Linked DNA regions of Rattus norvegicus. The protein of the gene in region 5 purifies or fractionates together with the protein of the main gene of each other region. This does not show direct contact. Links are inferred from orthologs where the notes say so. Each region holds a gene or a part of one and is shown on either strand. Other genes may lie near its edges.

The links.
Region 1: the proteins of Irak1 (region 5) and Tollip purify together in Homo sapiens (affinity purification with western blotting; 11 studies listed by BioGRID and IntAct, with this or other methods). This does not show direct contact. The link is inferred for Rattus norvegicus from reciprocal best matches to the Homo sapiens genes IRAK1 and TOLLIP.
Region 2: the proteins of Irak1 (region 5) and Peli3 purify together in Homo sapiens (affinity purification with western blotting; 7 studies listed by BioGRID and IntAct, with this or other methods). This does not show direct contact. The link is inferred for Rattus norvegicus from reciprocal best matches to the Homo sapiens genes IRAK1 and PELI3.
Region 3: the proteins of Irak1 (region 5) and Peli2 purify together in Homo sapiens (affinity purification with western blotting; 7 studies listed by BioGRID and IntAct, with this or other methods). This does not show direct contact. The link is inferred for Rattus norvegicus from reciprocal best matches to the Homo sapiens genes IRAK1 and PELI2.
Region 4: the proteins of Irak1 (region 5) and Irak3 purify together in Homo sapiens (co-immunoprecipitation; 3 studies listed by BioGRID and IntAct, with this or other methods). This does not show direct contact. The link is inferred for Rattus norvegicus from reciprocal best matches to the Homo sapiens genes IRAK1 and IRAK3.
Region 6: the proteins of Irak1 (region 5) and Stip1 purify together in Homo sapiens (affinity purification with mass spectrometry; 3 studies listed by BioGRID and IntAct, with this or other methods). This does not show direct contact. The link is inferred for Rattus norvegicus from reciprocal best matches to the Homo sapiens genes IRAK1 and STIP1.

Annotation. Positions count from the first base shown.
Region 1 is NC_086019.1:206,398,489-206,401,988, reverse strand, and holds part of Tollip (toll-interacting protein), read left to right. Parts: coding exon 1-64; intron 65-1,119; coding exon 1,120-1,272; intron 1,273-2,425; coding exon 2,426-2,516; intron 2,517-3,500. UniProt on the Homo sapiens protein: Component of the signaling pathway of IL-1 and Toll-like receptors. Inhibits cell activation by microbial products. Recruits IRAK1 to the IL-1 receptor complex. Inhibits IRAK1 phosphorylation and kinase activity.
Region 2 is NC_086019.1:211,662,240-211,665,739, reverse strand, and holds part of Peli3 (E3 ubiquitin-protein ligase pellino homolog 3), read left to right. Parts: intron 1-953; coding exon 954-1,148; intron 1,149-1,441; coding exon 1,442-1,630; intron 1,631-3,147; coding exon 3,148-3,500. UniProt on the Homo sapiens protein: E3 ubiquitin ligase catalyzing the covalent attachment of ubiquitin moieties onto substrate proteins. Involved in the TLR and IL-1 signaling pathways via interaction with the complex containing IRAK kinases and TRAF6.
Region 3 is NC_086033.1:24,012,310-24,015,636, forward strand, and holds the end of Peli2 (E3 ubiquitin-protein ligase pellino homolog 2), read left to right. Parts: intron 1-206; coding exon 207-773; 3' UTR 774-2,827; downstream 2,828-3,327. UniProt on the Homo sapiens protein: E3 ubiquitin ligase catalyzing the covalent attachment of ubiquitin moieties onto substrate proteins. Involved in the TLR and IL-1 signaling pathways via interaction with the complex containing IRAK kinases and TRAF6.
Region 4 is NC_086025.1:57,560,632-57,564,131, reverse strand, and holds part of Irak3 (interleukin-1 receptor-associated kinase 3), read left to right. Parts: intron 1-1,520; coding exon 1,521-1,635; intron 1,636-2,912; coding exon 2,913-3,031; intron 3,032-3,500. UniProt on the Homo sapiens protein: Putative inactive protein kinase which regulates signaling downstream of immune receptors including IL1R and Toll-like receptors.
Region 5 is NC_086039.1:156,927,026-156,931,325, forward strand, and holds the start of Irak1 (interleukin-1 receptor-associated kinase 1), read right to left. Parts: upstream 2,801-4,300; 5' UTR 2,620-2,800; coding exon 2,484-2,619; intron 2,473-2,483; exon of another isoform or gene 2,408-2,472; coding exon 2,240-2,407; intron 2,079-2,239; coding exon 1,947-2,078; intron 1,834-1,946; coding exon 1,730-1,833; intron 1,552-1,729; coding exon of another isoform or gene 1,549-1,551; coding exon 1,360-1,548; intron 1,134-1,359; coding exon 1,069-1,133; intron 845-1,068; coding exon 730-844; intron 1-729.
Region 6 is NC_086019.1:213,651,155-213,654,654, reverse strand, and holds part of Stip1 (stress-induced-phosphoprotein 1), read left to right. Parts: intron 1-1,338; coding exon 1,339-1,548; intron 1,549-2,452; coding exon 2,453-2,594; intron 2,595-2,748; coding exon 2,749-2,890; intron 2,891-3,500. UniProt on the Homo sapiens protein: Acts as a co-chaperone for HSP90AA1. Mediates the association of the molecular chaperones HSPA8/HSC70 and HSP90.

The DNA.
Region 1 (3,500 bases), on a different chromosome or scaffold from region 5:
CAAGGTTATTCAGTGCACAGTGCCCCCAGGTGTGGACTCGTTCTACCTTGAGATCTTCGATGAGGTGAGAGATGCTCCAATGTTACAGAGTTGCCAAGTTTGGGATCTGGCAGCCATGGGTGTGCTGCATGTGCCTTGTGGTTGTAGTCATGAGGCTGTTCTACTGGTGCTCAGGACCTTTGTACCTAGCATTTAGTGACTAGTGACAGGGTGTAACCTGCCTGGACACCTGGCATTTAGTGGCTGAATGACAAAGTACAGTTTCTTTGACAGTGTCCATTAGGAGCCATCACCAGTGATAGAAGCATGAGTAGAGTGTGAAGATAGATGTTCATGGATAAGTCGAATTACAAATAAGTCAGCACCCTCAGTGAGGGGAACACTGTTCTTGCAGGCCTCAGTTCCAGGCTCTGACACTAATGTCCCATGGCCATACCAGCAGTTAGGTGTGCAACTTTTTGAGGGCAGTCAGGAAACTCAGGTGGCTGAAGATGTCTTCTCGCAGCTTAGTTCTGGAGACCATGTGCTTGCCTCCTTGAAACAGAGCAAAGGGCAGTGGGAAGAGAATGGGGACGGTGAGAGCCAGAAAGGAAGTGGGCATGGGTAGTCCAGCGAGGGGGACGCAGCCACTCATTTGTCTTTACCCCCTTCCTCTGCTTTCTTCTTCAGCGTCTGTGAAGAGTAGGGATATGGGAAGGAGGGTTGGGCTATGGATGGGCTGGCAGCTCTTGTCCTTGTCTGTACCTACTGGGCTTGAGACTTACAGCTTCTATCTAGTTGATTAGTTAGGGCCACAAGGACTGCAGAGGACAGTGTCCATCCCTGAGCAAGGATGGCAGCCAAGAGATTTCTTTATTGTCCTTTGGCCTGACCTTATGGTGGTTACTCAGAAGATGCAGAAGTAGTGGTGGCCAGGTACAGGTCACCTGGATGTCTGGGATTGTGGTTTAATGGGAAGCTCCTTGGAGGAAGCTGGAGCAGTGAGAGGAACCCTGTCCTGCCAAGAACACAGAAGGTAGATGCAGGCGGCAGTCCAAGCACAGCCTTAGGAAAAGCTGGTCTCTATAACATGGGTCGTTGAGGGCCATAATGAGGTCATTTTACTCTTGTCTTCCTCAGCGAGCCTTCTCCATGGACGACCGCATAGCTTGGACCCACATCACTATCCCCGAGTCCCTGAAGCAGGGCCAAGTGGAGGACGAGTGGTATAGCCTGAGTGGGAGGCAGGGCGACGACAAGGAGGGCATGATTAACCTGGTCATGTCCTATACGGTGAGTTCACTGTCTGGCGAGGCCATTCTCAAAGAGGGTCTGGCACCTCCTTGAGATAGCTATGGCTCCCAGAACCTTGGGAAGTCATGGGAGGCAGGGCTGGGGGTCTGGTTTCCCACTGTCTCCTTTGTATTATCTGGGCCTTTCCTTTTAGTTGTTCTTGAGCCTTTGAGAACAGGGGAGTATAAAGCACCCGGTATGCAGGCCTCCTCCGCTTTACCATCCTACATGCCTCTCCTGGTGTGGAGTGTCACCCATCTTTAACAGGTGCTTTATGTAGCATAGGTCCATTGTATACTCGCTCATCTACAGTTCAAGATTATTTGAGCTGGGGCAGGAGAGGTGACTCAACAGGTTAAGAGCACTGCTGCTCTTGTGATTCCCAGTACCTTCATGGTGGCTGACAACCAACTGTAACTCCAATTCCAGGGGATCCAATACCCTAATCTAACCTTCACTGGCATCAGGCACACACATAATGCACACACATATAGGCACACAAAACACTAAGATATGTTAAATAAAACAAAGCAGTTCAGCATTTCCGAGAGAAGCTACTGATACTGATGCAGTCTCCAAAATGGACCCTGAAGGGAGCTTTGTAAGTCCTGTGTGAGAAGTGGTGTGGTTGTAGCTCGTGTGAGCCAGTGGTTGACATCATTTGTTTTCTTTGGTCTTCACCTTGACTCTTGTTCTCACTGAAACTGAAACTCATTCCATTCACTAGATTGGCTGGCTAATGAACTTGAGGGATCTTCTTGTCTCTGCCTCTCTCGTCCTAGGATTATAGATATGTGTCACACACACACACACACACACACACACACACACACACACACACACATAAACATAGCTTTATATATGGGTGCCGGGGATTGAACTCATGTCCTCATGCTTGTGCACCAAGCACTTTCCTAACTGAGCTGTAGTTCTGAGTCTGCAGCCCAAGTCTTCCAGCTGAAGGGAGGAGGTCTGCAGGAGTGGTGCAGATGAAACCAGTGGCCATGGACACTACATTCTTGCTGAGGATTCCATGTCTTGGGTGTTGCTGTCTGGGCTGTGGCTAGGACTAGCCCTATGATACCAGAAGTAACAAGATTGACATATGGTATGGTCCTCCTTGACACCCATGTTTTTCTTTGTTGTGTTTCAGTCCCTTCCAGCTGCCATGATGATGCCGCCTCAGCCTGTGGTTCTGATGCCAACTGTGTACCAGCAGGGTGTTGGCTATGTGCCCATTGCAGGTGTGTACTGCTTCTTTGGTAGGCATCCCAGGGACAAAGTAGGACAGGAGGAGGGAGGGGCCCAGCATTCCTATGAAGCTTGAGTAGTGTAGAATTGTGTAAGCATGGCTATTTTAAATGAAGACCTTCTAAAACCTACTCCAGTGTCATATTTGAATTATTTTTGTATACATAGGAAGTAGTGTTTGCTCTGTTTTTGCCACAAGTAAGGTGAGTTGAAATTTTTAGAGGTGTAGAAACGTTGTCTAGGAATATTTTCATGTATGAGTTGTAGGAATAAGAAAATCTGGTTCCTGTTAGACAAGGCATACTACATCTTAAATCATGGCTTTCGTTGAAAGTATTTACCCATGTAAATTAATACCTGCTTGAGTCGTAAAGTCAAGATGTGGCTTTTATATATTTTTTTAATTTTTAACCTTCCTGTGGATTTCACAGTACCTGGTGTCCAGTTGGCCTTCCTACCAGAGTAGGGCAAGCCAGATGAGATCACACACCTGCTTTCTTAGCCAACAGGAAAGACTGTGGCTCTGAGAGTAGACACCAGGGCAGGCCTTCAGGACCCCTGTTCTCTGCTAGGGTTCAGGAAACTGGAGTCCAAGCAAACCATGTAGTCCTGCTATCCCAAGGAATTCAAAGGCTAAGGCAGTAGGGATGGCCAGTCCATAGGGCAAGAGGGAATATGAGATCCTGGATGGGGCTTTGCCTATATGGTCCCTGCTTGCTGGTGCTCAGAGTGAGCATTGCTTTGGATCTAGGACAGCACAGAGCTGCTGTGGTTCATCTGTGTGGGGTCTGAGGGTTCCACACAGTCAGAATGGAGTGACTCATTAGTCTTTATTAAACTTAGCCCTTACGCCAGCTGAGCGAGGGAAGATAGTACAGGACTTGGGAATGAAATCCACCCACACATATCCTGAAAACAGCCCTGACAGACAGAACTTGGGCCTTCTGCCTATGACAAATCTCCCTGCAGGGACAAAG
Region 2 (3,500 bases), on a different chromosome or scaffold from region 5:
AGAGTCATTTAACATCTCTGAGTCTTGTTGTCCTCATCTGTAAAACGAGGCCCATAGTAGCCTCCCCCCTCATGACAGGAATGATTGAGGTTTGTACATAAATTGCTTAGCTTGGGCCTAGAGAGCTAGGTTAGAGGTTAAGAGCACTTCTTGCTCTTGCAAAGGACTCAGGTTCAGTTCTCAGCACCCACGTCTGCTGTCTTACAGCTGCCTGTCACTCAGTCCAGGGGGGCCCATGCCCTCTGGCCTGCACGGGTGCTTGCACACATGTGCTACAGTGAATTCACTCAGAAACACATACATAAGCAAACACAATAAGCAGAGTGTGTCAGCTTATACCTTTAATACTAGCACTTGGGAGGTAGACATAAGTGGACTTGAGGCTAGCCTGCTCTACCTAGCAAGTGCCAAGCCAGTGCAGGCTACACAGTGAAGCCCTGCTTGACAAAAGCAACAACAACAAGAGCTGGGTGGCGGTGCATGCCTTTAATCCTAGGACCTGGGAGGTAGAGGCAGGCGGATGTCTGAGTTTGGGGCCAGCCTGGTAGGCAGAGTGAGTTCCAGGGTAGCCAGGAATACATATAGGGAAACCCAGTCTCAAAAAGAAAAAAAATCTTAAAAGCTTATCCGGTGATACCTTCTTACTAAAACTTAATTCACTGCTAATGTTTCAGGTGTCACTTTTAATTGGTCTGTCAACAGTAGAGGAGCAACTGAGTCGGGTATTTCTCAGAGCCGTGGGGCCACAGAGCAGAAATTGGTTCATACCACAGTTGGTCAGACGTAAGGAACCTGCAGGCCAGCCCACAGGGCCTAGCCTCTGGAGCGTTGTGGTTGCAGTGTGCACTGTTCTCTTTGGGACTGGCATTTCAGGTTTTGGTGGCTGCTGAGACACTGGGTGAGAAAACTGTGAAATTTGTCTGCACATGTGTTCTGGCCCTCCTTCCTTATAGATTGGCCGCTCTACTGAAAACATGATTGACTTCGTGGTAACGGACACATCTCCTGGCGGAGGGACTACGGAGGGCCCTTCTGCCCAGAGTACCATCTCTCGCTATGCCTGCCGAATCCTCTGTGACCGCCGGCCACCCTATACTGCCCGCATTTATGCTGCTGGTTTTGATGCCTCTAGCAACATCTTTCTTGGAGTGAGTGATTGCCCAAGCGTGGCTAGAGAGAGCTGAGGGGAGGGAGGCTGGGGAGATGCTGTGTCCTGGAGTGATGGGGCAGTACATAGCCATCCTTTGTGTCGCTCCTCTCGTAAGGCTTAGCAGCCCATTTCTTGAACAAGCAAAGGGAAGAACAAAGAGGCCAAGTGGTGCCCAAGACCTGAAATCCTCCCTGGGAAACCCCAGACCTCAAAGGTGGGGGGACACCATCTCTGGCATGCAGCCTTTTGGGAACTCTTGGAGTTGTGAGCTTATCCTTCCTGTGGTCCTAGGAGCGGGCAGCCAAGTGGAGGACTCCTGACGGTCTGATGGATGGCTTGACAACCAATGGGGTCCTGGTGATGCACCCAGCGGGTGGCTTCTCTGAGGACTCTGCCCCGGGTGTCTGGAGGGAAATTTCCGTTTGCGGGAATGTGTACGAACTTCGGGATAGCCGATCAGCTCAGCAGCGGGGGAAGCTGGTAGGTGACTTCCTCCGTCTCTCCCCTCCCTTCCCAGGCCCCCATCAGCAGTTCTTTGCCTTTCCATGCTGGGAGACGGGTCTATAGCACTTCTCCCCAAGGGAGTCCCACTAGGTTCTGCTTGGCGAGCCCCAGGCTTAGACAGTTCCTGACACTTGTCACTTGCCACACAGACAGGACCCGAGCAAGGTCACTAGGTATACTTTTATACAGCTGGGGATCCAGCAGGTGATATGAAATGCAGCCATGCACATGCGCTGTGTGGAACCAAATGGCTTCGAGGCTGCCAGCAGCTTAGAAAATCACACCCTCTTCCAAGGATGACACTTGGCCTGTGCATGAACAGTTTATAGTCCAGAGTGTTGGCAGCTCCTAGGGTGTCTGTCGCATATAAGGAGGGTGTTGTTATTCTCTCCCAGCAGGAGTAAAAGGGCCTTTGGAGTGGTTCTTACACTGCTCCTGGAAGTGCTCCTTTGGTGCTTCTTGGAGCACTGATGTTGAGAGCTGGGAGTAAATTCTAGGAAAAAAAAATAGGGCCGTATAGCTATATTCCTTGACTGGACCACAGAACTCTCCCCAGGCGTCAGCACATGAGAGGGTTATGAGTTCTCGGCCAGCCTGAGCACACAGCAAGAGCCTGTCTCAAAATCAAATCAGGGGCTAGAGAGACGGCTCAGTGCTAAGAGCACTAGCCATTCTTCCAGAAGACCCAGGTTTAGTTCCCAGCACCCACATGGCAGCTTACAGCTATGCATAACTCTAGATCTAGGGGATCCAACACCCTTTTCTGGCCTCCATGGGCACCAGGCACACATGTAACACACAGGCATACGTGCAGGCAAAACACCCATAAAGTTAAAAACTAAAGAAACAAAACAAACCATGCACATGAATGTAACACAGACATGTGCTCGTTATGTGCCTGCTGTATACCAGACATTGTTATGTGCCCACTGTATTCCAGACATCGTCCATGTTTTTTTCAGTTGACTTATTTAATCTTTACAAGGCCCACTTGAGATATGAAATTCACTTTGAGGTCCAGGAGACCAAGATACAGAAGTTACATTATTTTCTTGGTAACACTAAGTCAGTGACTGGCAAGATCAGGATTCAGACGGAGGCTCTCTGGCTCTAGAGATCTTGCTGTGATCCACGACCTGGGGGGCAGCCAGTTTGGGCTCAGTACCTGTATCCCCCCTGGGAGGTTATTTGTTTTCTTTGTCATATTCTACTTCTGCCATTTTGGGAGAGCTCTGGAAAACGTTTCAGAAAAACCTTGCTTTGGGCCAGACCTCCTGATTTGACCTGTGGAGATAGCAAAGCCCGGGTCCTGCTGAGATAAAGGGCTGTATGTATTTGGGGGCATCTGTCTTCCTTGGTTCAGCTGGCCTGCTGGCCTAGGGTGTTCTCTTAAGGGAATGTCACTGGTCAGATAGGTGGCTTCTCTGGGGTGAGGCTGCCTGAAGGCAGGGCCAGAGAGCTCTTGGGCTAAGGCCTTCTGCTGCCTTCGGCAGGTGGAAAACGAATCCAACGTCCTGCAAGATGGTTCGCTCATCGACCTGTGTGGGGCCACACTGTTGTGGCGCACTCCGGCAGGGTTGCTGAGGGCACCCACCCTGAAACAACTGGAGGCCCAGCGACAGGAGGCCAACGCAGCACGGCCCCAGTGTCCTGTGGGCCTCAGCACCTTGGCCTTCCCCAGTCCAGCCCGTGGCCGCACAGCACCCGACAAGCAGCAACCCTGGGTCTACGTCCGTTGTGGTCACGTCCATGGCTATCATGGCTGGGGCTGCCGGAGGGAGCGAGGCCCCCAGGAGCGCGAGTGTCCTCTCTGCCGCCTTGTGGGACCCTATGTGCCCCTGTGGCT
Region 3 (3,327 bases), on a different chromosome or scaffold from region 5:
GGGACTGAACCCAGGGCCTTCTGCTTCCTAGGTAAGCGCTCTACCACTGAGCTAAATCCCCAGCCCTCCCCTCCCCTTTCTAATGGGATGCGTTACCTCCCTGTCTTCTGCTCTGTTGCGTTCTGCGTGAAGAATGTTCGGGTGCCCTTGCCCCCATAGATCGTTGGATTTCGCTTTTAAAGCCGTCTCTATTAAACCTGTTGCAGGTGGAAAGCGAGACCAATGTCCTGCAAGATGGCTCCCTCATTGACCTGTGCGGGGCCACGCTCCTCTGGAGAACCGCCGACGGCCTCTTCCACGCACCGACTCAGAAGCACATTGAAGCCCTCCGGCAGGAGATCAACGCAGCCCGACCCCAGTGTCCCGTGGGCCTCAACACCCTGGCCTTCCCCAGCATCAACCGGAAGGAAGTGGTAGAAGAGAAGCAGCCCTGGGCGTACCTGAGCTGCGGTCACGTGCACGGCTACCACAGCTGGGGCCATCGGAGCGACGGCGAAGCCAACGAGCGGGAGTGTCCCATGTGCAGGACTGTGGGCCCCTATGTCCCCCTCTGGCTGGGCTGTGAGGCAGGGTTTTATGTCGATGCAGGACCTCCAACTCACGCTTTCACCCCCTGTGGGCACGTCTGTTCGGAGAAGTCCGCAAAGTACTGGTCCCAGATTCCACTGCCCCACGGAACCCACGCATTTCACGCCGCCTGTCCGTTCTGTGCCACGCAGCTGGTTGGTGAACAAAACTGCATCAAATTGATTTTCCAAGGTCCAGTGGACTGACACCCTGGACGACCGTCTACATGACGATAACACGTTACTGTGAAGATTTCGCCACTAACTGTAGATCCTACCTTTTTGTAAGGCTCTTTGTTGAGGGGACGGCGGACTGAGTTGGGACGACAGAGGTGGGGCAGGCGATGACAGATACCACTGTGTTTGGCATGCCCAGAACAGCAGCCTCACCTGAGGTCTGCCTGACTAAACTTTAATACCTGTGTAATGATTAGATTTCAACTGCCATGCTTTTATTTTTAACTTTAGGTTTTTAACCAGATTTTTTTCCCCCTTTGTAAACTTGGGTAAGATTTTACAAATGTAGAAGAAGGGTACTCTGCAGATGTCTCTTAGAGCACAGCCTGCAGAGCTGTGTGGCACAGGAGTCACACATCTGGTGATGTTCAGTGGTTGGGAATACTTGACAGTGGCCAGAATCTGACCCAGTACCAAAGGGCCAGCTCTGTTGGCCCTGCCACAAACACCCGTGGACAGGAGGCGTAGACCATGCACTTGTCTTGAACTCTGTAGCTTTTCCTCACTTTTTTTTTTTTTTTTTTTTTTTTACTTTGGGTGGAAGAGAGAATCCATATACTGTTTCATTTTAACTTTAGTGGAATTCACTTACATATTCACTCATCAGATATGTGGCATGTCAAACAAAGAACCCCCCCCCATGGTCCTAGCCTGCCCTGTTATTAATTTTGCTTAGCGTGACACTTACATGTCAAGAAGTGATTGGTTGGTTGGTTAACTGATTGATTGATGATTGAATTCATGAACTGAGGGTGGCAGCAGCGGGCGTGTCCTAGGTACTCTAACATCAGTTTTATCTGCACACCAGAAAACTTAAGACCCAAGTGGGATTTAAAATACGCTTTTACTTCTAAAACCACTTGCTGGCACGTCCTGTGTTTCCTTTCTCTTCTTCTTAGGAAAGCCCAAGATTTTTTAAGCCCAGAAGCAACAAGCAACAGCGAGATTGTCATTTCTGTCCCCTACCTTCCCACCATCTGTCACCTTCCCTCACAGCTTAAGGAACCCCATAAGGTTTTTGGTTTTGTTTTTTGTTTTTTGTTTTTTTTAATGTTTGCAAATCAAGCTAAATCTAAATGTGATTGTCAGCTACACGGAGCACTGAGTGGCATGTGTGTAGAGATTGGTCGAGATTCCTGCTTTTGAGAGGGCAAGTGAGTGTTTACTGGGGAATCATTAAATCAGTTTCATATGAGCTGCACTGCCCCTCTCTGTTTCATCTTGCATTGATTGATAATGCCTGAGTGCTTGTTTTCTATGCTTGGTGACAGTGGTATCAGAGGCTCCCAGAATGTCAGCATGGAGACACACTGCTGGGCTTAGCTGCATTCCACCCCATTCCCAGGGAGAAAGTCTTCGGTTAAATTAACATCTGCTCAGAGGGACCGCCAACAGATCTGATCTGCCTGTTTTAGCTTTTGTAAATATAAATAATTTATATGATTATGACATATCCATACTTGAATCGGTTTTTCCATATCTTGCCTATTAGCAGATATTTCACCTATTTTCAACCAATTAAACCTATTTGAGTAGTTTTTCCTGAAGGCAAAACGGTAATATTAATTCCTCTGTAGTGTTGCTGCTTAGTTCGACTCAATTTGCTGGAGTTACCTGTCATTTTAAAAATAGCTTTATTTTCCCTTGGAGACTGTTAAGAATTATGAGAGAGTTTTTTGTTTTAATTATATTTATGATGTGAAAATCCAACAACAGTCTTTTTACTGGTAGTTCCCTATGTTCTACATAGATAACCTGCAGAAAAAAATGAAATAAAGACAGAGAGAGAGAGAGAGAAAGAGAGAGAGAGAGAGAAAGAGAGAGAGAGAGAGAGAAGAGAACTTTCTAGAGAAACCTAGGGTGCCACCTGGTGCAGCCAGCGTTTTTATCACTGGTTTTCCTCCCCACCCCACCCCACCCCGCCTCTAGTTATATGGAAATTTATAGTTTGAGGGTTCCTGTCGTAATCTTGTAAGATAAAGGGTCTCACACCCAGTAAGGTTAAATTTTATATTTCACCCATCAAAAATAAAAAACAAAAACAAAAGAAGAAAAGCACCAAACTTGTTTTTTCAAGGAAGTTCACTCTGATACCAGACTACTCTGTGTCAAGAACCATGTCTGGCACATACCTCGGAATAAGGCAAGCATCCCAGCATCAGAGGTCATAACATGGCGAACTCGGTAATAAACCACAGGCTCTCCGTAGGGGCCACCTTAGCTCTTTGGTTTCCAGGTGAGGTCCCACCCCCGACCCCTGCCAGAGGAATAGTCAGCCTGCAAAGGCAGCCACGCCACCGCGACTGGGGCAGCTTCTGATGAGTCGCTTCTCTACTGAGGAAAGGTTTTTAAGTTTGAAAAACGGTTTGTTTGGTTTTTTTTGAGAATGAAGAACTGAAGTTCACCCACGTAGAATGAGACCGTGGAGAGAAGGAAGCTTCTCCAAGGTCAGCTCTGGGTGTTCCGGTTGGGCTGCCATCACTTGAACGATGAGCCCCACACCTCCTCCCACTTGTATATAAGA
Region 4 (3,500 bases), on a different chromosome or scaffold from region 5:
GTGCTTTAGTTCCTGCCTTGACCTGACACCTGATAAGAAGGACTGGAGGGGCTGATGGTTTGTTTTGGCTCACAGTTTGAGAGGACAGTGCACCATTCAGCACATCATCACCAGAAGTTACTGTGGGAGAATGGCATGGTGCCTGGCCTCACTGAGTCCAATCAGGAAGCGCAGAGAGATGGGTCCTTGTGCTCAGCCTACCTGGTCCTTTTCATTCATTTTGGGACCTGAGTCCACTGGATGCTGCAGCCCTCGTGCTGTGCTTTACTAAAGCTAGACAATGAAGAGTAACCACCAAGGGACTCTGGCCAGCACACACGGCTCTGACCCGCCTTGCCCTGTTCCCTCTGCCTTGCTAAAAACCACTAGGTTAGATTCCTAAGGTTAGCCACCCAGATCTATTTCCTCATTTGCCCACTTCCTCCTCTTATGACTGACTATTAAGGTCCAGCTATCAAACGCTCCCTTGGGGCTGCCCTAATTACCCTGTCCAATCAAAATTAAATGCCTGATCCTAACATGAGGTTTTTCCTTTTACCCTTATGAACCGTCTCATTTGCCTATGGGCCAGTCTGTCTTCTTTCTATTCAGGAACAGTCCTTCCCACCGCAACCCCCAGACAAATACCCCTGCCCCCTCTCCCTGTTCCTTTCCCCTTCTCCCTCATCCTCTGTCTCTTATTCCCTGCCTTCTGTGCCTCTGGGACAAATAAATCTCCTTTGTGCTGAGAATCTCGCTCTTGGGTTTTCTTGAGCCAACACTAGCCCCTTCCACTATCATGCCTGGACTATACTGATCTTCATATAAACATGGTATCTAAGGAATAGAGTTTATTTGTTGGTTAATACATGATTAGGACAGGAGCCTAACATGCATCTAGTACACTAATGTAGAAATCTGAAATTTAAAATCAGTTTCCAGCTTTTGTAGATGAAGATACTATTGTGTGGGTTGTCGATGACAATCCAAGCTTGGTAAAGGCATGACTGTCCCTTGCCTGCCTGTAGCCAGGGCTTAACCCAGCACCTGATGTGGTAATGCCCCACTGATGGGTGGATGAAGACAGCCTTCCCTAGTCCCGTGTTTTCGTGATTTTCCTTGCATTGCAGACTTAATCAGATGGGTTTCTGTTGCATAACCATTATTTGCTTAACAAATAAAGATATGACATTTTTTATATCAGCGAAAATAAGTGAATATTGAATTGTGGTTTTTATATGAATTTTTTTGTATGACGTTCTTAGTATCCCAAGGCTTAAGAAATCGATACTTCCTTACATTTTATTGCCTTGTATTTTAATATATTATATTGATTTACATGCTGGCAGTTGATTAAAACCGGTGGAACTAGTACTTGCCTGAACTCCCAAGGAAATGACTTGTCTCTTGGTCAAACTTAGTTACTGTCTCTTGGCCAAACTTAGTTACACTAGAACTGTTCCCCACCCCTCCTGATCAAGCCTCTTGTCCGTCTTCTATTTAAGTGGAGAATCTGATGGTTTAAAACTTTCTGTTTCAAGGTTCAATCACCCCCACATACTAGAGCTGGCTGCATATTTCACAGAGATGGAGAAACTTTGTCTGGTTTATCCCTATATGAGCAATGGGACACTTTTCGACAGATTACAGTGCACAGTAAGTCGCGGGTACCAGTCCCTCAGGTCCTTTGGCCCACTAAAGCCCAGGATGAAGGAGGGCTGTTGACACTCGAGGGAGCTGAGGGGCAAGATCTGAGCATGCGCATGACTGGGGGGCGGGGATATTCAGGAATGGTTCCCGGGGAAGTGAAGGGCCTCCCAGGAGACTGATGTCTTACCCTTAGAAGGTTCCCTGAACACACGAGTTCCTGGGTTCTGTGTAATTTAACAATATGTGTAGTGAGTTTATATCAGCTATTCTCAGCTTCCTTGGCATGTGGTATTCAAGTGGGTACAGGGTTGGAGAATCAAACCCAGTGTCTTATGCATGCTCAGAAAGGATTTTACTGCTGAGCCGTACTCTCAGCCCATTGGCCACAGTCTGATTAAACTAAAGTTAAAAATTGTTGGGTATTTCCCTAGAGCAGTGGTTCTCAACCTTACTAATGCTTTGACCCTTTAATACAGTTCCTCATGTTGCAGTCTTCCCCCAACCATAAAATTATTTTCGTTGCCACTTCATAACTGTAATTTCGCTGTTATAAATTGTAATGTAAATATCTGATATATGTTATATTTGATACGTGAATCCTATGGAGTTTGGAGCCTGCAGGTTGAGAATCACTGTCCTTGAGCTGTAGAGGAAGACCCATTTGGAATTAAAAACAGATTGTAGCAAACTGAAACGTTGATTTGCCTCTTCTTCCACCACTCCATCTACAGCTGTGGCTGTTGTGTTTTATAAAAAGATAGAGAAGAGAAGCCAGGGATATGTTTAGTGGGGGTGTGTGGTATGGTGTCGGGGAAAGGGGCACCTCTGCAGGTCCATGCTGAGGCATCCCTTCCCCCTGAGGTACCAGCCACAGATGGTATAGTATGGAATAGAGTTTATTTAGGGCATGGGGAGGGGAGTTGAGGGAGTAGTAGAGACTGAAAAGGAGAGGGGGGAGGGGAGGACGAGGAGGACGAGGAGGAGGAGGAGAGGCTGGCCATGAGCAGGTAGATGGGGGAGAAAGAGGGGGGAAGGGTAAGGGGCAAGAACAAGATAAGAGAGCAAGAGAGAAAGGAGGGGGTAGCCCCTTTATAGTGAGTCAGGAACACCTGGCTGTTGCCAGGTAACTGTGGGGTGGTGCACACCTGGCTGTTGCTAGGTTACTGTGGGGCAGAGCCTAGACTAAATGCCAACAGTGGCTTTGGAACCATGTGCCCACATAGTGACTATATAGGTAATTTGCACTAAGAAAATACAACTAAGTCAACCTGTCTGTTTTTTAGAATGGCACAACCCCACTTTCCTGGCACGTTCGAATCAGTGTGTTGATAGGAATAGCCAAAGCCATCCAGTGCTTGCACAACACCCGGCCGTGTGCCGTCATCTGTGGCAACATTTCCAGGTAAATGATCTGAGAGCCTTAGGTTCCACCTAAACCCCTGTCAGCACCACAGGTGAGTGTTCTTCCCACCAGTCCTCTTCCTGGGTACTTAAGAGGGCAATAAAACCTCTCACCAAAGTACTACAATTCTGCGTTCACTAGATTTCTAGAAACCATATTTATATCTCCAAGGGGTGACAAATATTACCTCTATGAGCTACTAATGAATTTTGTGTATTGTATTAATCATACTGAATAGCCAGATGTGCATCTGAACCTATATTGGCCTCTCCACCCGAACTCTTAAGCTCATGTGTGTGTGTGTGTGTGTGTGTGTGTGTGTGTGTGTTTAAAGATTTATTTATTTACTTTATGTATGCGAGTACACTGTAGCTGCCTTCAGACACACCAGAAGAGGGCATCAGTTCTCATTTCAGATGGTTGTGAGCCACCATGTGGTTGCTGGGAATTGAACTCAGGACCTCTGGAA
Region 5 (4,300 bases):
CATCTGTCACTCTGGCTTGGAACAAGCTATCCACTTTATTCTGAGCCTTAGTTTCCCTTTGTGGAGAATGAGGAACAAGACTATTTATGACCTAATTCACAAGCAAGTGGAGGCTAAAGCTATTCCGAAGGTTTTGGCAAACACTGTACAGCTGGGATAACAGCTAGGGAACATTTCTCAGGACTTAAGACAAAATGCAATGGGTTCAGGTTCACCTGACTGCACAGAAAATGCTGATGCCCTTCTCCCTCTCCTCTCCCAAACAGTTTGAGAAGGAAGTTCTTATCCTGTATATGTGGTGGCTTGTGAGTTTGATACTCAGGCATGGCTCAAGCTTGGATTCAGTCTGACAGCCTGTCTCCATTGGTCCCCATTCCCCAAGAGCTACATGAACTAAATCCTTTAGCTACTCTGCTTATAAAGCCAATAACTCCCAATAGAGGAACAGTAAGGAGAGGCCAGAGGAAAGAATTGTGTGGAAAATCTTGGATCAAGCTGAGTGTAATGGTACATGCCTATAATTCTAGCATAGAGTCGACTGAGTTAGGAGAATTGCCAGTTTGAGGCTGGCCTGGGTTGGGTAGTGAGGCATTGTCTCAAAGCAAATAAAATGGAAGAAAGAAAACATTGGGCAAAACCTTGAGTTTGAAGGGGAGCCAGAAGCCCAAGTCCTGCCTGTCACAGGCTAAGGGGCTATGCTAGTAATGGTGCCAGATCAGCTAGGACTACCTGAAGGTGAAGCTGATCCTCTAAGGAGCCATTGGGCAGGAAGCCATAAACAAGGCAGTAGAAGCCACTCTCTGCACAGTAGCCAGCAAAGTCCACGATATTTGGGTGACGAAACCTGTTACCAAAGAGTAGAGTCTGAGTTCTTTAGTTTTCTGGGTTCCATTACTTTTCATCAGACCAGGCTTGGGTGGGCAGCCCTTGATGTTCCCTCACCTGGGCCTGGCAAGGCCTTGAGGGCCCAAGGGAGCCAGAGCTTGTGTTGTGCAGCCCTAAAGACTGATGAGGCCCTGGTGTGGCTCTCCTTGTGCCCCTAGACTGGAGGGACCCCCCGAGGCTCACCTTGATAGCTGTTCCACCTCTGTTAGGAAGCTCTGTTTCACCACAGTCCACTCTAGGTCAGCCTCCTGTAGCCCCAGGCATGGTGGGGGAAGAGGTAGGGAAAGTAGGCAGCATAAGCCAAGCTTGCCAGCTGTTTCCAGGCCCACAACAATGGAAGGCTTGGGGTCCTTGAACTGGAATCAGGGCTGAAGGAATTGCTGGGGGAGGCTGGAGGCAGGGAACTGTAGAAGTGAAGTGCTGATGGAGGGAGGAACTGGACGAACAAGGTGGCTACCCCACTGTTATACCTACCTCCTTCAGTCTCTTCACAGCATATGTAGTATTTCTCATTACTGCTCGGTACACACACCCAAAACCACCCTCTCCAATCCTGAGTTCTTCAGAGAAGTTGCAAGTGCCTTGGGAAATCTCACAGAAGGGCCAGCAAAATGGGGAGGGACGAGCTCTTTGGAGGCCAGACACTGGGCTCTCTGGGCTTGGCTGCTGGAAGAGACATGGATTAGGCGAGGACACTGTCTATTCCCCTTGGTCCAGGTTGAAAGCTCCCTTCAACACTAGTTGTCTCTTAGATGACCTGGCTGTGCTGATTCGGGCTCTGTGGTACACCAAAGATAAGTTTCTTCCTCTTTGGAAATTTCCCTGGGGGTTAAGGGACACCTACCTTGATGGAGGAGGGGGCTGAAGATTGTAGTGGTGGCCCGAGGGAATCAGAGAGTGGAACCTGGAGGAGCTCTGACTCAGAATGGGTCTGGGAGCCTGGAAAAGCTTCATAAAGATGGCAGTGAGAGGCAGAGACCAGCAGCAGTCAACAGCCATGTCAGTACTCATGGTGGCCTTTTCCTCACGCATATCAAGCCCAACACCCGGGTTCTTTTTACCTGGGGAGAGGAAGGTGGAGGCAGAGGACTGCAATTTCCGGGGGCTCCAGTCCTCAGTCTCAGAGCCTGCAGAGATGCTGCTGGGCCTTGGGGCACCGGTGCTTGGGGGCAGAACAGAGGCAGGAGGGTGCCCTGGGATAACAAGGAAGGAAAGGAGGGTGGTGTCTCAGGTCTCTCTATCCTTATATGTAGGGTGTGGGAGCTCCCATATGGTCCCCTGTCTCAGGAAGCTCTGTACCCGTCACCCCTCTTGGGTTCCCATCCCTAGGGTCCCTGGGGCTATGCTCGCTCACAGGCTGTAATGATGTCCCGCGCACGCAGCAGCTGCAGGTGCGTGAGGATGTGAACGAGGTCAGCCACACGCGCGTTGCGGTTGATCCAGGGCCACAGGACACTGGCCGTGCGCTGCTCGGAGCGCTCACACAGCCGCAGCTCTGTCTGGTCGCGCACGATCAAGGCCGCTGCGGGACGGGGAACATCAGGCTTCAGCTCCAGAAGCCTGGGTCCACCGCCCCACGTCGGCCTGCCGTCACCCACCGAACTGGCACCAGTCGGCGGGCTCCAGGGCGTCCATCACTTTGTAGAAACGGCACATAACCCAGGGAGGCACCTCGTACAAGAAATGCTGGGCGCCGGGAACCACAGGCTCCCCGGGGCCCGGGCCCCCGGCCATGACCGTTGCCGCCGCCCCCGCCGCCGGGCCGAGGCCTCTCCGGGCCTCGGCGGGCGCGGGCCTTAGCCAGCCCGGTCCACAAACACTGACTCACTTCCCCTTCAAGCCGGCCTCGTGCGACACCCGGCAGGCGGAAGAGGCGGCGCTCGGCCCGCCGCCATCTTGCCCTCCGCGGCCTTCCGCCACACGGGGGCGTCTCGTGAGGCCCTTAACTCCGGGAAGGAGCTCTGCTAGGGAGGAGGGCGTCCCTAGTGGGAGAACAGAAGGCTGTGGTTCTACAGGGACGGCGGGCTTCCAGCAGTGGGAACCATCTGAATAAGGCTGAACAGGATGAAGAAAGATTTCCAGTTCTGGAGACAAAGGGCATGATGTTTTACACGATGTTCTACAAAGGCAATTTATGCCAAGCCCGGTGAAAGCCACAGAGAGGCTCCCCTTGGCTTTACTTGGGGAGCAGTGGAGACTCAGCCGAATTGTTCAGTCAGGGTCAAATGTGGGTCACAAAATAGCCCTCTGGCAGACTCTAATCATTTGGTGGTAAGGATGGATGTCCTGAGAATGATCTGGAAGAGTGTATACCAAGAGTGCTGCTGCTTGTGTGCTAGATCCCTGTGCCCCCACCTCTGCCTCCAGGAACCTTCCAGCAGCTGGGCCAGCAAAGTGTTAGATCACAGAATCTGCCTGTGCAGGATCCTAACTTGCCAACTAACACATTTGTGTCTCTTAACATATACACGGTTGTCAGCTTTTCTTTTTCTGTTGCACTTTTATTTTAGTTTGCACTTCTCCCCATAAGGACCCTAGGATCTAGCAGCTTCTCCTACCCCCTTCTAGAGCAGTTGTTGGTGACACCACCTGATGTAACTTTTAGCCATGTGAGTGTCTCTTGCCCACTCCTCTACTGTTATCCATTCAGGGATTTCTTTGGCCTTTTTGATCACTCTATGGCACACATCTCAGCACATAGTACTTTCTCATTATGCTCTCTTTAAGTCCCCTTTGCATGAGTGCACTACTCTTAGCCATCGCCACTCACCTGCATGGATTGTATGGCTTGGGTGGAGCTCACAGCTCATGTCGTTGTCCTCAGGTTCAAATCACTAAAGCCCTTAGAATCCCAGTTCTTTTATGGCTGTTAGGAAGATGGCATAGCCAGTCTCTTGTCTACCCACCTGAACTTGTATACACCAACAGCCTTAAGCCAATAAGAACTCTTTAGATTTAGTTGGGCTTGGTGATACACCCCTTTCAATCCTTGCAACCAGAAAACAAAGGCAAATGGACCTCTGCGAATTTGAGGGCATCCAGGGATACAAAGTGAGACCATACCTCAGAAAGACCAAAACTAAATTAAAAAAAAGCCCTTTTTAGTGGTGTCCTGAAAAGCACTTCTCATTCTACTCTGAAATTGAGTTTACATATACACCCCTGCTGTAGTCCTTCCTGACTAGACTGAACATAAATAGCTGTGGGGAAAGCTTCCTAAACCCAACTCTCTCTTAGACACATCTTGAGCTTGCAATGGAGTTCTGTATCTCTGAACTTTTCTCACTTCCCACTGCCCAGGAAGATCGACAGGTAGCAACTTGGCAATCCTTGTTTCTCCAGCTGAAAGCATGCTTGTAAAGCAGCAGCTTTCTTCTCCTGATTACAGTTTCCCCAACAGACACTTTTTGTCATA
Region 6 (3,500 bases), on a different chromosome or scaffold from region 5:
TCATGTTCAAGGCTAGCCTTTGAAGTTAACCTGAGACCCTGTCCCAACGCAGGTTAAGTGGAGGGAAAGGCTAGGGGTGTGGCTTTGTGGTGACTTTGGGGAAAGTCAGCACTCTGCTTAAGCAAAGTCTCATTCACTTTATGAAGCTCCTTGGAAATGGAGAGACTGGGATTGGATGATATTTGTCTTCATCTTCTTCCTGATAGAGTAATAGTAAAACATGGCAGGAACTTGGCGGAGACTAGCTCAACCCTTAAAGGTTGCACAGTAAGTCCTTTTCAGCTCTTGCTAATAATGGGAAATAGCAGTAGAGCTGTAATGAACATAGAGGAACAGGATCCTCTTATTCTGAAGCTTCTAGAGCATGTGTATACGTGATGTGTGCATGTAGATGTGCACATATGGCTGGCCTTTAGAGGACAACTTGGTGGGATTGATTGGTTTGTTTTCATCCATTACTCCCCAGGTATTAAACTTAGATTGTCAGGCCTAGGTGTTTTATCAGGCCCCATCTTGAGGTTTTTTTTGAGAGAGTGGTTTCTGTATAGCCTAGAACTCAGATTCCTTCAGCCTGAGCCTTCTAAGTCCTGGGAGTGTGTATGTGTGTGTGCCACATGTGTCTGCTCAGTCATGTATCTGAGCATGCTCAGCTCTTCCTACACTCAGATTTTATTTATTTGTTTGTTTTTTAGTTTTGTGTTCGTTGGTCTTTTGCCTGCATGCATGTATATCTGTATGAGGGTATCAGAAGCCCTGAAATTGGAGTTACAGATAGGCATGAGCAGCTATGTGGGTGCTAGGAATTGAACCCAGGTCTCCTGGAAGAGCAGTCATCTTAACCACTGAGCCATCTCCAGCTACTATGATTCAGATCTTTGACAAGTGAATTTGCTTTTCAAAGTAGCCAGTTTGCACTGGAGGGGCTGAATTCTCTGCCAGTGGAGGACAAAGAAGTCTTGATGCCTCCGCTTTGTTTCCCTGCTAGTTTTCAGAGGTATAGGACAACATGGATGGAATAGTATTTTTCTCTTTTTTTTTTTTTTTTTTTATTCATTTATTATATATAAGTACACTGTAGCTGTCTTCAGATACACCAGAAGAGAGAATCGGATCTCTTTACAGATGGTTGTGAGCCACCATGTGGTTGCTGGGAATTGAGCTCATGACCTCTGGAAGAGCAGTCGGGTGCTCTTAACCGCTGAGCCATCTCTCCAGCCCGTATTTTTCTCTTTTTGATCAGTAGTGGCCAACTTGATACTTACGAAGAATAAGAATATCTACACCTAGGGAGGAGAATTCAGTTCTATAGAGTGAGGCTGTATACTTTTCCCTCCTCAGGTGAATGAGCTAAAGGAGAAGGGCAATAAGGCCCTGAGTGCTGGGAACATTGATGATGCCTTACAGTGCTACTCTGAGGCAATTAAACTAGATCCTCAGAACCATGTGCTCTATAGCAATCGCTCTGCAGCCTATGCCAAGAAAGGAGACTACCAGAAGGCGTATGAGGACGGTTGCAAGACTGTTGACCTGAAGCCTGACTGGGGCAAGGTAAGTAGAAGAGTTACACTCTGTACAGTTTTCCTAAGAACTTTGATTCTTGTCTGTCGTTCCCAATTAGCAGGCCCTCCTGACCTGTCTAGTTGGCTCTAGGTTGCTCCTTAAGACCTATCTGTCCACCCTCTCTGAAGGTACCCCTTGAAGGAAACACTTAATTCTCCAAGTTTGTTATCAATTATAAAACAGGTTTTATTAGTTGTACAGATAAGAAATGAAACATTGCTAAGTAAGCTGACAGCTTATAGCCATGGGTTGCATGGAGATTTATGCACCTTTGTCTGGATTCTTTTTTTTTTTTTTTTCTTTCTTTCTTTTTTTGGAGCTGGGGACCGAACCCAGGGCCTTGCGCTTGCTAGGCAAGCGCTCTACCACTGAGCTAAATCCCCAACCCCTTGTCTGGATTCTTTTAGTATCAGCGTTGGTGTTGTATCCTTTCCCTATTTGCTGGTTGGCCTTCATGTGAGTATCATTTGGGTCTAAAAAGTACATGGCAGGAGGGCCAACCAGAGTAGCATATGCCTTTAGTCCCAACATTTGGAAAGTAGAGACAGGTGGAATTTGAGACCACCCACAGCTACATGAGACCCAATCTTAGGAAAAAAGGAAGGGCTGGTGAGATGACTCCATTTTTACGTCACTGGTAGCTCTTCCAGAGGACCTGGGCATAATTTTCAGCATCTACGTGGTGGATGACAACTGTCTTCCAGTCTCAGGGAACCCAGTGCTGTCTTCTGGTCTTTGTAGGCACTAGGCATACATGTTGCACAGATACACATGCAGAAAGAACACCCTTATGCATTAAATGTATTAAAAACAAAACCCTAATAAACTCTTTGAGTTGATCTGAATTTACTTCTGCATGACCACTATTTACTATAATTTTGGGGCTGTTCAGGGTTATTCAAGAAAAGCAGCAGCCCTTGAGTTCCTAAACCGGTTTGAAGAAGCCAAACGAACCTATGAAGAAGGTTTAAAACATGAAGCCAATAATCTACAGCTTAAGGAAGGCTTGCAGAACATGGAGGCCAGGTTGGCAGGTGGGTACTCACTCGCATTTTCTTTTATGTAATGGGATTAATTTTTAAAACAATGCTGTCCTCCCCAAAGTGAACATAGGTGGTAGGCGGGGTATGTTTGATATCGTAGAGACTGAAATTAACATTTCATACTAATGTACTTTCATTTGGACAGAGAGGAAATTTATGAATCCTTTCAACTTGCCTAATCTGTACCAGAAGTTAGAGAATGATCCCAGGACAAGGACACTGCTCAGTGACCCCACCTACAGGGAACTCATAGAGCAACTACAGAACAAGCCTTCAGACCTGGGCACGTAAGTAGAGGCAACAGGAACTAACAGAAGCTCTCTGATATGGAACACTGAGTAGGACAGGTTTTGTAATTTGTATTAATTTAAAAAAAAATGTCAGGGACTGGAGAGATGGCTCAGCGGTTAAGAGCACTGACTACTCTTCCAGAGGTCCTGAGTTCAATTCCCAGCAACCACATGATGGCTCACAACCATCTGTAATGGAATCTGATGTCCTCTTCTGGTGTGTCTGAAGACAGCAACAGTGTACTCATGCGTAAAATAAATAATTACATCTTTTTAAAAAATGTTGGGTAGCTTGTAATAGCAAAACACTCAGAAATGTTACTTCTAACTCTGCCTTTCCTGGAGTTCTAGCTTTGCTTATTTTTGTAACTGTGAGGATCAAACCCTGGCCCTTGCCCATGCTGGGCAAATGTTCTCTCTCCGAGCTTTAATCCTGTTGGTAGGTAAGGATCATCTTCTACTTACAGAAATCTGTTAATAAGTGCACAGGTAAGGAGCAGTTGTAGACGCCAGCCTTGGTATAGTACACATCTCAAATTCCAGCTACTTGGATGAGTTTCTTGCTTTTTGTTGATTTTTGAGAGTTTTCCTTTATTACCCTGGTTGT